2 linked regions of the Caenorhabditis elegans genome follow. The protein of the gene in region 2 purifies or fractionates together with the protein of the main gene of each other region. This does not show direct contact. Each region holds a gene or a part of one and is shown on either strand. Other genes may lie near its edges.

What was found.
Region 1: the proteins of fce-2 (region 2) and let-19 fractionate together in Caenorhabditis elegans (co-fractionation; one large-scale study listed by BioGRID). This does not show direct contact.

What each region holds. Positions count from the first base shown.
Region 1 is NC_003280.10:8,768,656-8,774,468, reverse strand, and holds the start of let-19 (Mediator of RNA polymerase II transcription subunit 13), read right to left. Parts: upstream 3,495-5,813; 5' UTR 3,393-3,494; coding exon 3,378-3,392; intron 3,259-3,377; coding exon 3,046-3,258; intron 2,999-3,045; coding exon 2,839-2,998; intron 2,791-2,838; coding exon 2,496-2,790; intron 2,446-2,495; coding exon 1,739-2,445; intron 1,575-1,738; coding exon 1,308-1,574; intron 1,264-1,307; coding exon 1,069-1,263; intron 865-1,068; coding exon 663-864; intron 617-662; coding exon 446-616; intron 389-445; coding exon 1-388. Other genes in the region: nsph-1.1 (Nematode Specific Peptide family), read right to left, coding at 5,162-5,292, 5,552-5,642, 5,691-5,796.
Region 2 is NC_003283.11:20,423,108-20,432,027, forward strand, and holds fce-2 (CAAX prenyl protease 2), read left to right. Parts: upstream 1-2,193; 5' UTR 2,194-2,234; coding exon of another isoform or gene 2,235-2,282; 5' UTR 2,283-2,288; coding exon 2,289-2,292; intron 2,293-2,339; coding exon 2,340-2,445; intron 2,446-2,597; coding exon 2,598-2,661; intron 2,662-2,821; coding exon 2,822-2,966; intron 2,967-4,264; coding exon 4,265-4,323; intron 4,324-4,583; coding exon 4,584-4,761; intron 4,762-6,848; coding exon 6,849-6,983; intron 6,984-7,842; coding exon 7,843-7,952; 3' UTR 7,953-8,190; downstream 8,191-8,920. UniProt on the Caenorhabditis elegans protein: Protease involved in the processing of a variety of prenylated proteins containing the C-terminal CAAX motif, where C is a cysteine modified with an isoprenoid lipid, A is an aliphatic amino acid and X is any C-terminal amino acid.

The sequences.
Region 1 (5,813 bases), on a different chromosome or scaffold from region 2:
TTTTAATTTCCTGATGGCTCTTTTCAATGAACGTTTGACTATTTGTTTCTGCATATCAATATGATACTGCCCCGCCTTCTTTATCTGTTGTTTGCTAACTTTCCTTCTTGCTTTCTTCAACCATTTTGCTTTTCTCATCATTTCTTTTTCATCTTGATCCGCACAAATTTCATCATAACCTCTTAATCCTTTTCGACAAATGCTTCCTTTGAAAAACTTATTTCCTTTTGGTGTAGGAAGTATTGATTCATATTTTTGAATCTTCTTTGGCAAATCCTTCAAATGGTATTCTCGTGGTGAACCGGTCATTTGATTTGATGGATCAAATTGATAATGAGCGTGCTCGATTTTTTCTGCTCTCGACATTCCAGGCTTCCATCGATTGTATCTGAAATTGTAAAATTTGTGTCGAATTCTAGAAGTATTAGAAATTAATATAACATACTTGTCTTTGAATATCTGATTGAAACGCTCTTCAGACATATCATCATCTCCAGGCATTGACTCAAAGTCATTATTATCTACATTGTTGGTGAGATATGTAATTGGCAAAAACGATTTTGGCTTGTAGTTGTCATCATTTGGAACTTTGGGAATTTTGATGTCATTATGAAGTCTGAACAAAATATGTAATTGAAAAAAATAAACTTCTGGAAACTTACTCAAAATCCTTATCAACTTCAATTTCAGGGATTCCCTTTGGGTGCTCTCCCTCAAAATTAGCCCAATCATCCTGAGAAAGTTTGTCCATTCGAAATGAATCATCTTCGCTATCAGCTCGAGTTGATCCAGTTGGACGTTTTTTGTCACGCCTCTTCTTTTGTGCTCTTTCTCGACGAGCTCTCCTTCTTCGTTTGACCGCACCTAGAAAAACAAAAGAATATAAGTAAATATAAAATAGCAGTGCTTCAAAATTTTGAACCATTAAAAAGTTGCAATGGCTTAGGATTACTTAAAGTTTATGTTTTCAAAAAAAAAAAGTAAAAAAACAGAAAGCTCTCAAAAAGTTAGGATGGCCAAATCAGTGTTAAGTGTAATTTTGTGAAATCATTTGTTTAAAAAACTCACTCAGTTGTTTTGTCTGTTTCACACTGTCTCCAGCCTTTCTAGGTGTAATTGGCCCAATTGGATGCTTCTTGTGATAGGCATGAAAATCAAATTTCTTTTGAATTCGACTCCGAATTTTGTGCCATCTAATCGAATTTTCCGTATATGGACCATATTTTAGAAATCTATTGTGACGATCAACGTCTAGTATAACTTCTGAAAAAATATAAAAACTTTGAGATTCTTAAAAAAAAACATACGTCCATCGGATTCTCCTTGGTATTCAGCTTCAGCACAATGTCGACATGATACATCTCCTCTGCATCCATACTTTTTTGCAGTAAACTTCCAATTTAAGAATTTTTCTTTTAGTGGGGGCAAGAGCTGCCCACTAGTGGCACTTTTTTGTGGAACATTTTCTTTTGAAATTAACCGTTCATTTTCACAGTATTGGTAGACTGCCATTGTAGATAGAATTGGATTCGCAACGTTGACAACAAGTTTGTTACGTGGGCGACGATTTTGGGCTGGAATAAATTGCAGTTGAACTAGGAAAATTAAAAATAAATTATTTGGAAGTGCATACAACTAATAGTTGAAAAACCTATCATTTATTGAAATTTTCAATAATCAACATTTTCTTGGCAATTCGTAATGTTTTCAAAATTTTAAAAAATCGTGGTTTACTTACCTTGTAATTCAGGTGGTTGTTGATTTGTCTTCAGACCAATTGACTCAAGCATTTGCCGATCCTCATCAATTGTGACACAAAGGAATTTCGATGGGTATAATAATCGAACACCGTCAATATCAAGAAGAACCATTTTCGGCACATCATTATTCACACATTCTTCCTTCTCTCCAACATCTTCATCTGTCACTACATCCGAATCATAATCATCAGGATTTTTAACTTCTGTACGTTGCCTTTCAACCTCTTTTCGTCGTTCTTCTCTTAATTTCCTTCTTTGTTTCCTCACTTCTCTTGATTGTTCTCTTTTTTCTTTTTCTTCTGGTGTCTCTTCTTTTGATTTTTCTTGACGGTAATCAGGCTCGTACATCCATCGTAATCTCTGTGGAATATCGTCTTTTTTTGACTCATCAATTGCCTCAAAACTCTGTGATTGCTCTTCATCAGATGAATCTGCAAGTAACACTCGAGTTGTTTGTGGTGGAGCTGGTGGATCCGAATCTGGAGATTTTTGCCTTTCTTCTGACACATTTTCTGGTTCTTTTTCTTCCATTTGCAAATAATCTTTCCATTGATTCCATTCTTTTTCTGCTGATTCTTGAATTTTTGGGTCGGCAAGAAGAGCTATTTGGTCTTGAACAAGTTGACCGCGCATGGACCATGGACCTACTACAACCACAACACGTTTTGTTTTGCACTCCAAATGTCTGAAAATTAAATTTTAATTATTCAATAACTATGTTAAAAACTAAATTACCGTCTAGCCAAAGTTATCAAAGTTGGTTGCCTTTGTGCTTGAACAGAAGCACATATCGTGCTGGATCCATGAACAAAAAAGTTGAATCGAATTGCTGGAGAATGTGATGGATACGTAAAATGTAGATAATTTTCTCGTGCATCATATGGAACTGTAAACCATCTTCCAAATCGAACGAATCCGTCTTTTGTAAGATCTCTTTCCAAAACAACGTGCAAAGCTTTGAAGATAATTGTGCGTACTTCGTAGCTCACAATATTCATTTGATTTGCTGATGATAATTCATCGTCGTTATCTGAAAAATAAACAAGTTGAATGAATTAATAGAAAAAACAATAATTACCCAATCCTTCACAATTTTTCTGAAGCAATGCTGGCTCATCATCATACCAAAATACCCAGAGCTCTTTTGGAGCATCATTTGAAAAATTCGTCAGTTTTGGAGTTTCTTTGTTATCAGTTGGGGGTAATGGTTTACGTCTCCATGTGCAAAGAATTCCGTCCTAAAATTTGGATTTAATTAAATTTATGGCTTTCATAAAGTTCTTACCAATAAACATTTACTGTATGCTTTGAGTACAAAATCAGCAGTCAGTGCAACACCACGTGGAGCATTTGGTTTTGTGCGGTAACATTTCCATTTAATGCCTGGCAATTCAAGTAGTGCATAAACATTTGAGATACAGTCTTCTAAGCTGCCACCGTTGTTCCACTCTGGACGCTTCTGGAGCTTCATTTTGCGTGAGGCATCCTTGTCGCTATCCTACAAAATTTAGAAGGTGGATTAGTTTTTACTTTTAGTTAAACTTTCAAATCATAAAAATTTTTGGCAAATACCAAAAATGTATTTGGAGAATTATATTTCAAAAAAAAACAGCGCACCTTGGCGGAGGACATGTCCTCTGTGGAGTCACGGGCTGGTCCACTTCCAGCCAGTATCTTGGAAGCGTCCCTGTACAATTGTTGATTCTGTTGCGACGACACTTTAGCACAATGTTTCTGCAATCGGAACTAATTTGTCGAGCGATTTTGAACGGAGACGACAGGCGATAATAGACAGGCGGTAACAAATTAAACGGTTTTATCTCAATTCGAGTTAACAAAATGAAACAAGAATGGCCGAAATACATAGGAATCATAAAAACAATTGTGTTTTGTTGTCTACAATGCAATTGCCAAAACCAATCAATATTAATGTAGTGGTTAGAAACCTAGGTCCACATTTGGAAATATTCAAGTTGGTTTTGAAATGTTTAATAACATTATTAACGATTATTCTTTTGTGTAAAAAAAATTTGAAAAAAAGAAGTTAAACTTTGGAGTTGAAATTTGATACTGTCAATCGGCAAGTCACTCAGTATAGTTACACCTAAAACTTTTGAAAAATTGCAAGGACTTCGTTTTTTACAGAATTGATAACAATTTCAAGACATTTCACAAAAACTTTTGTAAACAAGATGTCCATATTATCAAACTTAGTTTACAATATAGATCAGAAAAAAAAAGAAAAGAGCATCTCAATTCATTTGGAAAAGTACCAATTAACTTACATAAACTTACATAAGTGAAAACGTTTAATCAACTTATTAGTATAAAAGATTTAGCTTTAAAAAATTCTAATTGAAACTACATTTAATAAAATAAGATATCATTGTAGGTATGCAGGTATTATATGTTCCCTAAATGAAAATAAACTGTCCCATGTAATCTTTGAATAGGATTGCGTACTGTGCAACACACTTGACGCGCATTTTTTGGAAGAGGGGTATTAAAGAAACGTTTTATGTTTTCCCCAGAAAAACTTCAGTGACAATCAATAAACTTTTAAAAATTACGAAAAAGACTGAAAACCGATCAACGAAAGACAGATAACACAGAGAAGAGGCAAGCCATGAGGACAACGTTATCTCTCAAATACGTAAACGAAAGATACACTCGCGCCTCACATTTGACAGATTACCTACACTTTTTTCTCTTTTTTTTGAAAAAAAAACAATCCGAAAAACTTTGAATTTAAAAGAAATAATAAGTGTCTTTCTAGGTGCTAATAAATATAAATTTCAAATTTTATGTTTGAAAAAAATTAACTATATCACGAAACGAAATAAAGAAGTTGTTACAAAATTCACCAATAAGTTCATTAAATCAAATATTTAAATTTAAAAAAATTAAAGATAATTTTTTAGTTGAAAATAAATTATTCGAAAAAACAGTAAAACTATGCTCATCAAATAGAGTCATTGGTCTCAATCTCTTGAACACCCAGACAGAGAAGAAAAAGGACGAAGAGACGACGGAAAGTGGCCCCCGTGTGTGTATGTCTTTTCCTTACTGCGTTTCCTTCTTTTCCCACTCCCTTCATCATGTCTCTCACCCCACCATTGCCCCGCCGCATTCGGAGGAGGCGGCGGCGCGGTCGTCACTCGATCAATCCCCTCTGCACACCTTTTCAAGAAATAAATGAAAAATTGAGAAAAACTAAATTAACAAAAAGTTTATAAGAAACAAAAAAGACCAGCATCACAAAACAATGACTTCAAAACAAATAAAAATAAGTTTCACTCTTTTTATTGAATTATCCTTGAAACATTTGACAAACGAAAATCAAGATTGAGAGATACATTGTGAAACAGATGGGATTGAAGAAACCTTTTGTTCATTCTCGATCAGATGAGCATCGTCTCAGCCATTTCTTTTCTGCAAAGAACCATGATCGATTTGACGGGTCCTCCATCCAATTGGGTCACCGAACCGTTCAGGGCCACTGTAGCACACTCGGTCTTCATGTTCACCTGTCCTACAAGACATATGCTCATTGGCAGAAAAAACAGTAGGTGCTCAACAACAGAAAGTGAAAAAACACACAACTATTCGAAAGTAATCACTTTCAAGCTTACTTCAGTTAAACATATGTTCACTTTATCATATACATACATTTTTTTGGTCAAAGCATCTTACATGGCTTATGATAGCAAAAGATTTTTACTTTTAACCAACGTAATTCTAGATTACTGTAATAGAAAAACAAAAATTTCCGCAGTGCTTTTATAGTTTACCTAGAAAAAATTTTCCATCGACTGGAACAATGGCAGGACAAATGTAGCTGAGATGAACTGGAACGTAGTCTTTGTCACGGTAGTCAATTGCCTGAAATTAGAAAGTTAGGAGAACAATCTGATTAATTAATTACTGTACTTGTGTGTAGGTCATCCATACATAATCATAACCAACTGTAGTAGGTGGCAAACTGATCAAAAGTTGGAGTGAGCCGACTGTTGCTCCCGTGAATTCTCGTTTAGCGCTGAAATAATTAAACAT
Region 2 (8,920 bases):
AAAAAAAATTTTTAGAAAAAAAAAATTTCTCGAAAATTTTTTTCAAATTCAAATTTATTTAAATCTAAACCGCAATTTTTTCCTGACTTCAAAAATATATTTTTCAAAAGATTTTACACGAAAAGAGCCGAGTTACAGGTGATTTTACGCGCACCAACGAGAGAGTGCGAGGGCGCAGAGAAAGCAGACACTCTGCCTGTCTTCGCCCTCCGCTCTCTCACCGGCGCTTGCAAAAATGGCTGTAACTCGGTGGGTTTTGAGTTTTGGGCTGTGAAAATTATATTTTTGGAATCAGGAGGAAATTTTGGATCAGAAAAGTGAAAAGTTTGAATTAAAAAACACTTTCAAAAAAATTTTTTTTTTTGAAATCGAAAAAAGTTTGTCGCAAGTTAAACAACAATACTGGAATAAACATTTTCTAACCGGAAAATCAACAATTTTCACAGAAAAAGTTCAAACAACACAACAAAATGCCCAGTCAACAAGCGAGAGGTGATAAGGACCTGACACTTGATATCTTCTCTGTTTCTCTGATTCTCTAGTGGTCTAATCAAAGAACAATAGTGGAAAAAGTGCAAAAAGTACAAAAAGTTTGAAGATTTGATGGAAAAATTTCCAAAAATTATACAAAACACACTTTTTTGAAAAATTTTCTCACAGAATTTATATTCATCAGAACCGCATTTTTCTCCTGAATTCAAAAATATACTTCTTAGGGGTCCTGTAGCGAAAACGTGCAAGTTACAGCGAGTTTTGTAGAGACCGGCAAGATAGGGTGGAGAGTGGAGAGCGCAGAGAAAGCAGATACCCTGCCTGTCTGCGATCTCTCCTCTCTCGCCGGCGCGCGTAAAAACCGCTGTAACTCGGTGGTTTTTGAGTTTTGAGAGTGAAAAGTTATATTTTTGGAATCAGGAGAAAATTTCGGTTTTAATGAATGTAATGTTTGAAAAACAAATTTTTTTTGAAAAGTATAAATTTCTGAAATTTGAAATATCCATTTTTAAATGGCAAAATCTTAACAACATTGTATATTTGATTTATTTGATTTGCTCAAGCCGTTCTGTCTGGACAAACATAACAGTTCGAAAATGGGAAATTTCACAGAAAAATGAGCAAAAACTACTGAAAAATATTAGGGAAATCCCGAAAAACGTGCTAAAAACGGAAAAATTTTCAAATAATTCCTCGAAAATGTGCGTTTGGAAACAGATGGTACGCATCACCCGGCTGGACATTGTTTCTCACTCTCTGCGTCTCTCTGTCTCTCTTTCAAAAGAACGAGAGAGTGTGATAATCTAGAAGAGACGCAGGGAAGAGGTCACACTATATTGTATATACACTCATTGAGAAAGAGAAGAAACAAACATCGGAGTGCAATGTTCCTCCTCCTCCTCCCCCCACCGCCTTCCCGCATGGGAGGGCGATGTAGGACACCAAACATCAGGAGGGGGTAGAGAAATTTAATGAGTCGGTCAGAAAAAAAATTGTGGGGGAACCGGGGTTCGAAACATGGAGTGCTGGGTGAAAGGCATCTGTGTTCCCAATTGAGCCACCGGTTCAGCCCCAGAAAAGTTTTGTTTTTGGGGTCCGGTCAATGCAGAATTTTACGCTCTTCATTGTTTCAGTTGACGATTTTTTCAAATCTTGAATCTTGGAGGAGATAGAGCCGATTTAAAATTTACAGAGACAAACGCCGTAGTTTATTCCGAGATTTTTTTGGAAATTTTTTATGCAATCACTAGAAAATAATACGCTGAATATTTCCGTAGTTGAAAATTTTTCAAAATCATTCATCAGTAAAAAGTTATAGACAAATTAAACTTTTTCGATTCAAATTTTCCCATTTCGCGGCGTTTTTCCCAATGGTGGCCTAGAAAACCCCGAGGGTCGAGTCGCTCCATTGCACTCGGCCACCACTATTTAATTAATTAATTTCGGGCTCTTTTTCGTCGTTTTCGCTCGATTTTCGTGATTTTTTCGTGATTTTTTCGTGATAAAATGTTGAAAAATACGGAGAAAATTGAATTTGCGATCTGAAAATACCCAAAATCAGGAGAAATTACCAAAATATTAAGTTTTTCTGGCGGAAATTCAATTTTTCTAAGTAAAAAATCTTTTTAAGCTTTCTCCATCTTTTTATAATATTTTTTAGACGACAAAAGTTGAAAAATTGCATTAATTTTATATTTTCAGGTGAAAAGCTAAACAAAATCCCCCAAAAACCAGGAAAATCGATGATCACAGCCAAACTGTCGATTTTCACCAATTTTTCCCGATTTTAAGCTAAAATGGGTAAGAAAAAGCTGAAAAAAACAACAAAAAAACGTTTAAAAATTCAGGCGCCGGCTTGGTTTCCGCATGCCTGCCGATTTCCTACGTCTTGCTGGTCCATTTGTTCGATAGAAATGGAACCGACCGAAATGACCCGGAAAGTGTGAAGAGGAGGTGCGGAATTGAAGAAAATAGTGCGGAAAAACGGAAAATTTGACGTGGAAAACCTAGGAATATCGGATTTTTTGAAAAAAAAAAAGATTTTTAAATTTTTTTTTTGAAAAAAAAAAAAAAATTTAATTCCAAAAAAAAATTATTTTTTTCAGATTCAAAGGAGCCCTGTTGAGCAATTTTGTCTCCATTGTGGTCACCGCATTCTACCTACGAGATGTATGATTTTTTGGCGAAAAAATTGGAATTTTGCCTCAAAAAGTGCAAAAACTATGAATTTCCTCAAATTTTTCCCCCGAAAAAGCGTAAAATTGTCAATTTTCCACTGAAAAAATCAATTTTCCCGCCAAAAACCGCCCAAATTTCGCCATTTTTCCAGTATACCGACTCTCCAATGCTAGAAATGGGAGTTCGATGGGATAACATAGGACAATCGATCACATATCCATTCATTTTAATGAATGCATTCTATTTAGGACAATTCGTTATGATGCAAATCGATCGGACACTTTGGCACTATTTTGGTACGGGAAAACGCGAGGAAAATCGTGCGAAAAATGAACAAAATCGATGAAAAATTAGATAAAAACGTTGAAAATTCGAAATTTTTGGTCATAAAATGGGAAAAACGTCAGAAATATAGCATTGTTCCGTTGAAAGTTAGTTAAAAATCAGAAAATAAGCTTAAAATCAGATTTTGGGGCCAAAAATCGTGAAAAAAAACACTGAAAATTTAATTTTCCGGCAAAAACTTTGAAAAAAATGCAAAAAATCGATGCTAATTAGTTTAAACAGTCGAAAATTTGTCTTAAAATTTGCAAAAAGCACGAAAACTCAAAAAAAATAGTCAAAAAAAAAGCTCAGAAAATGCAATTTTTCACTTGAAATCTAGAATTTTGCCTATTTCAACACAAAATTTCAAAAAAAAATTGAAAAAATCGATTTTTTTTTTCTTGAAAAATGCACAAAAATTTGATTTTTCAATTTAAAAATTATTAAAAATTCAGAAAAATGCACATTTTCGGACTTTTGCGCTTCAAATTGTTATACAAGTCTGAAAAATTGAGTTTTTCTGTTGAAAATGATTTTAAGTCAGAAAACTGTGAAAAAAACAGTTAAAAATCTGGATTTTCCGGCAAAAATAAAATCGAAAAAAAAGTGAAAAATCGATAAAATAATGAGCTTGAAAAGTCGAAAAATTGTCTTAAAATTGACAAAAGCACCAAAACTTAATTTTAGTCTGAGTTTTCTTGAAAATTCATAGAAAATAGTCAAAAAAAGCTCAAAAAATGCATTTTTTTAAAATAGAATTCCTTAAAAACTGATTCTAAAATGGAAATTCTTCAAAATCGGAAAATTCGATGAAAAATCAGCTAAAAAGTGCATTTTTTCGTTTGAAAAATACGCAAATCGGATTTTTCAGTTAAAAATTAAAAAAAAACGGAAAAATTGCTTTAAAAAAATCAATTTTCGCAGCTAAACCTTTGAAAAAAACAGTTTTTACACTAAAATCCACAAAAAATTGGCAAAATCCCAGAAAAATGCATTTTTGTGGTTTTCATATGAAAATTGTGAAAAAAAATGGGAAAATCGAGAAAAATTAGATAAAAGAGTAATTTTTTTTTGAAAAATGCACAAAAATTAGATTTTTCAACTGAAAAATTGCTAAAAACGTTTGAAATTTGGGTTTTTAGGCTCAAAATGTGAAAAATGGCTCAAAAAATCGAATTTTCGCAGCTAAAACTTAAAAAAAAACCGAATTTTAATGTAAAAAATCAGTTTTTGAACTAAAATTCCCGAGAAAATTGGCAAAAAATTCCAGATTGGTACGAGTGGAAGCTATGTTTCAATAGTTGGGTATGGCGACGGGATATTATTGTGGTAAGAGCATTAAAATGTTGAAAATCTGAAAATTGCAGTGGAAAACCTGGAAAAATGAGGATTTTAGACAGATTTACCTGGGAAAATTCGAAATTTCAGCGATTTTTCTTCAAAATTCACCAATTTTTTCACTGAAAAATTGCCATTTTTGGACTAAAAATTCCCCAAAAAAACTCAAAATTGATGAAAAATTAGTGAAATTTCCGATTTTTCGCAATAAAAATCCCTAAAAAATCATCAATTTCCTCCTCCATTTTCAGGGTCCAATAACCGAAGAAATCGTATTTCGAGCGTGCTCCTCAACTCTTATGGCGCACGTCTATGGTCCAACAATGACAATTTTATTAAATCCAATTCCATTTGCGGCTTCACATTTTCATCACATTTGGGATGATCAACGACGTGGATATTCTCTAGCACATTCTATACTTCAACGGGGTAAAAAATTGGCCGAAAATTGAAACAAAAAACACGAAAATTGCGAAAATTCGGCTGAAAATGGCTGAAAATTAGCCCTGAAACGCGAAAAACTGAAGAAAATCGGTTAAAAATGATCGAAAAATCATGAAAATTTCAAAAATTTGGCTAAAAATCTAGGAAATTGCCAACAAAACTAGAAAATAGCTGAAAATCCAGGAAATTCGTATAATCTTACCCGAAAACTTGAAAATTTCTTGAAATTTTATGGAAAAAGTAAAAAATATCGATTTTCCGACTCAAAATTCGAATTCCACGTGAAAAATCACCCCTATTTTGGATTTTGAGAATTTTTAGTGCAAAATCCCGTCAAATCCGATGCCGAGTACGCAAACACCACGCTACAGTAACCCAAAACACCGGATTTTACGGCATTTTGCACTGAATTCATGAAAATTGAGGATTTAGTGTGATTTGCTATTGGGAATTCAAAATTTTCACGTTTTGTAGCTAAAATTCCAGATTTCTGGCAAAATTTTTAGATTTTTGAAAAAATTGGTCCAAACTTGAAAAATTTTGAAAAATCTGTATTTTCAGAATTTTCGTGCAAAATGTCGTCAAATATGATGTCTTGGGTTACTGTAGCCTGTGTTTGCGTACCCGGCACTTGATTTGACGCAATTTTAGCAGTTTGCTGATTTGCCGGAAATTTTCAATTCCGGCAAATTGCAGATTTGCCGGAAATTTTCAATTCCGCCAATTTGCTGATTTGCCGGAAATTTTCAATTCCGCCAATTTGCTGATTTGCCGGAAATTTTCAATTCCGGCAATTTGCTGATTAGCCGATTTGCCGGAAATTTGAATTTCGGCAATTTTGCCAACTTGCCGGAAATTTTCAATTCCGCCAATTTGCCGGTTTGCCGAAAAATTTTCAATTCCGGTAATTGGCCTATTTGCCGGAATTTTCAATTGCTGTAATTTGCCGACTTGCCGCAAGTTTTTTTGTTCCGACAATTTGCCGCTTTGCCGGAAATGTTTAGTTCCTGCAATTTGCTGATTTGCCGTTAAAATTGCAAAAAAACCGAATTTAAATTCAAATTCCACAATTCACTGCAACTTTTCCCTCACGAGGGACGAGGAAAAGTGGTTTCTAGGCCATGGCCGAGGGGCCGACAAGTTTCAGCGGCCATTTATCTTGCTTTGTTTTCCGCCTGTTTTCTTTCGTTTTTCACTGATTTTTTTTCGTTTTTTCTTGATAAAACTGATAAATAAATATTTTTTGCAGATGCTAAAACAATTTCCGAGTAAAAAATTGTGAATTCAGTCGGCAAGTAGCGGTGAAAGTGGGCAATGTAAAATGATGGATTGCGGGAATACAAAACCTAAACTTTTTCTGAAACATGATACATATGCTGCTTAGATGTTGAAACTACCTGATTTTCATATCAAGACCGCTGAAAAAGTTTTGAGGTTTCCAAAATTCAACTTTTTGTGAAAATCTCGACTTTTTCACCAAAAAAGTTGAATTTTGAAAATCTCAAAATTTTTTCAGCGGTCTCGTTATGAAAATCAGGTAGTCTCAGCATTTAAGCAGCATATGTATCATGTTTCAGAAAAAGTTCAGGTTTTGTATTCCCGTAATCCATCATTTTACATTGACCACTTTCACCGCTGCTTGCCCACTGAATACATAATTTTTTTACTTGGAAATTGTTTTAGCATCTGCAAAAAATATTTATTTATCAGTTTTATTAAGAAAAAACGAAAAAAATCAGTGAAAAACGAAAGAAAACAGGCGGAAAATAAAGCAAGATAAATGGCCGATGAAACTTGTCGGCCCCTCGGCCATGGCCTAGAAACTATTTTTCCTCGTCCCTCGTGAGGAAAAAGTTGCAAAATTGCAATTTTCCAAATTTTAGTGCAAAATGTCGTCAAATCTGATGCCCTGGGTTACTGTAGCCCGGTGTTTGCGTACCCGGCTCCTGATTTGACGAATTTTTGCACGAAAATTCTGAAAAACGCCGTTTTTGTGTAATTTCATGCTGGAAATTCGAATATTCATTCAAAATTTTCCAAATTTTCACCAAAATTCATCAAAATCTCTTCAGGTTTCCAATTCTGCTACACATATCTGTTTGGAGCATTCGCCACGTGGCTCCAACTGACAACACGTCACGCAATTGTGCCAATAATCGCCCACGCATTTTGTAATGCTCAAGGTCTGCCGCTTTGGCTCGAAATTCGTAAGTTTTAAGCGAAAAAAGTGAAAAATTTGAGAAATTTTGGTTAAAAAGAGAAAATTTTTAGATTTTCGTTGAAAAAAGTGTGTAATAATTCAAAAATTTCAGTTTCTTGAATTTTTCAATTCCGGCAATTTGCCGATTTGCCAGGAATTTCCAATTCCGGTTGTTTGTCGGAATTTTCAATTCCGTCAATTTGCCGGTTTGCCGGAACTTTTCAATTCCGGCATTTTGCCAATTTGCCGGAAATTTCCAATTCCGGAAATTTGCCGGTTTGCCGGAAATTTTCAATTCCGTCAATTTGCCGGTTTGCCGGAACTTTTCAATTCCGGCAATTTGCCGATTTTCCAGGAATTTACAATTCCGGCAAATTGCTGACTTGCCGGAAATTTTCAATACTGGCAATTTGCCGGTTTGCCAGGAATTTTCAATTCCGGCAATTTTGCCAATTTGCCGGAACTTTTCAATACTGGCAATTTGCCGATTTGCCAGGAATTTTCAATTCCGGCATTTTGCCAATTTGCCGGAAATTTTCAATTCCGGCAATTTGCCGATTTGCCAGGAATTTCCAATTCCGGCAAATTGCTGACTTGCCGGAAATTTTCAATACTGGCAATTTGCCGATGTGCCAGGAATTTTCAATTCCGGCAAATGGGCAAACCGGCAAGTTGCCGGAACTGAAAATTTCCGGCACATTGCCGGAATTGACATCTTCTAAAAAATCTCGAAAAATTTGAATTTTCAAATTATTAATTTCAATTTTATTTGCGAAAATCTGGAAAAAACACATTTTTTCAGATTTTTTCAAAATTTCAAATTTTTTTTGTTCTAAAAATTTAATTTTCAACCAATTTTTTTCCAGCCAACTACCCGAAACGAAGAGATCGTCTGACGCTCTACGCTGCCTATTCTGTCGGTTTTGCCGCCTTCGTTCACCTATTATATACTCGAAATGGAATGCCAACTCCCTAAATTTTTTTGTTGGAAAATTGAGATTTTTCAATTTTTTTTCAGTCGAAATCCCCATATTTATTACGTTTTCGCCCTCTTTTTTGCCCAAAAAAATCCATGATTACCGAGTCAATTTCTTACATTTCATCCGATTTTTTCTCTATTTTTTCCCAACCCAAATCGATCTTTCAGCTTTGTAATTGTATTTTTTCTGCTTTTTTTTTTTATTTTTAATAATTTATAAAAATTATTTTCAGTATTTTAAGCCGAAAAGTTCGGAAAACCACATTAAAATTCGAATTCGCCATATCAAATAACCCCTACACCCGTGGTGTCAGAATGTCCCATTTCGTTGTGATCTACAAAAAATGCGGGAATTTAGACGCAGACTTCTCAACTGATTTTGCATGGTTAAAAACGTGCTGACGTCACATTTTTTGGGGAAATCATTCCCGCCGCGTTTTTCGTAGATCAAACCGTTGTGGACCAACCTGACACCCCGTGTAGGGGCGCCTAATTGTAAAGGAAAAAAATGAGACACGGTGTTTGCAGACGAGGCGCCTCGAGGCGACGCGCATCTGCGTACAAGGCATTTTAATTGACGCGCAAAACATTAAATATTGAGCGGCATCGATCAAACGGCGCTGTTAAAAGGTTTTTAGTATTTTATTCATTATTAATCAATAAAAAAACTATTTTTTATGATAGAAAAGTGTTAAAAATTGATTTAAAAATTGACAGATTCCAGACCTACCACAAACATTTCTTTTTGATCTACTCCTTTTTTTCGTCCCTCTCTCTCATTCTACGCGCCATTTTTTGCGCAAAGTGAGGAATTGTTTCGCATTTTTAGTCATTTTTTCCAAGGGGTGACTTGGAGTACGGCTGTTTTTTTTTCACAGCATATGCATTTTTCGAAAAGACGCAAGTTTTTCTGAGAAGCGAAAAGGTGTGCGCCTTTAAGGAGTACTGTAGTTACAAACTTTTTG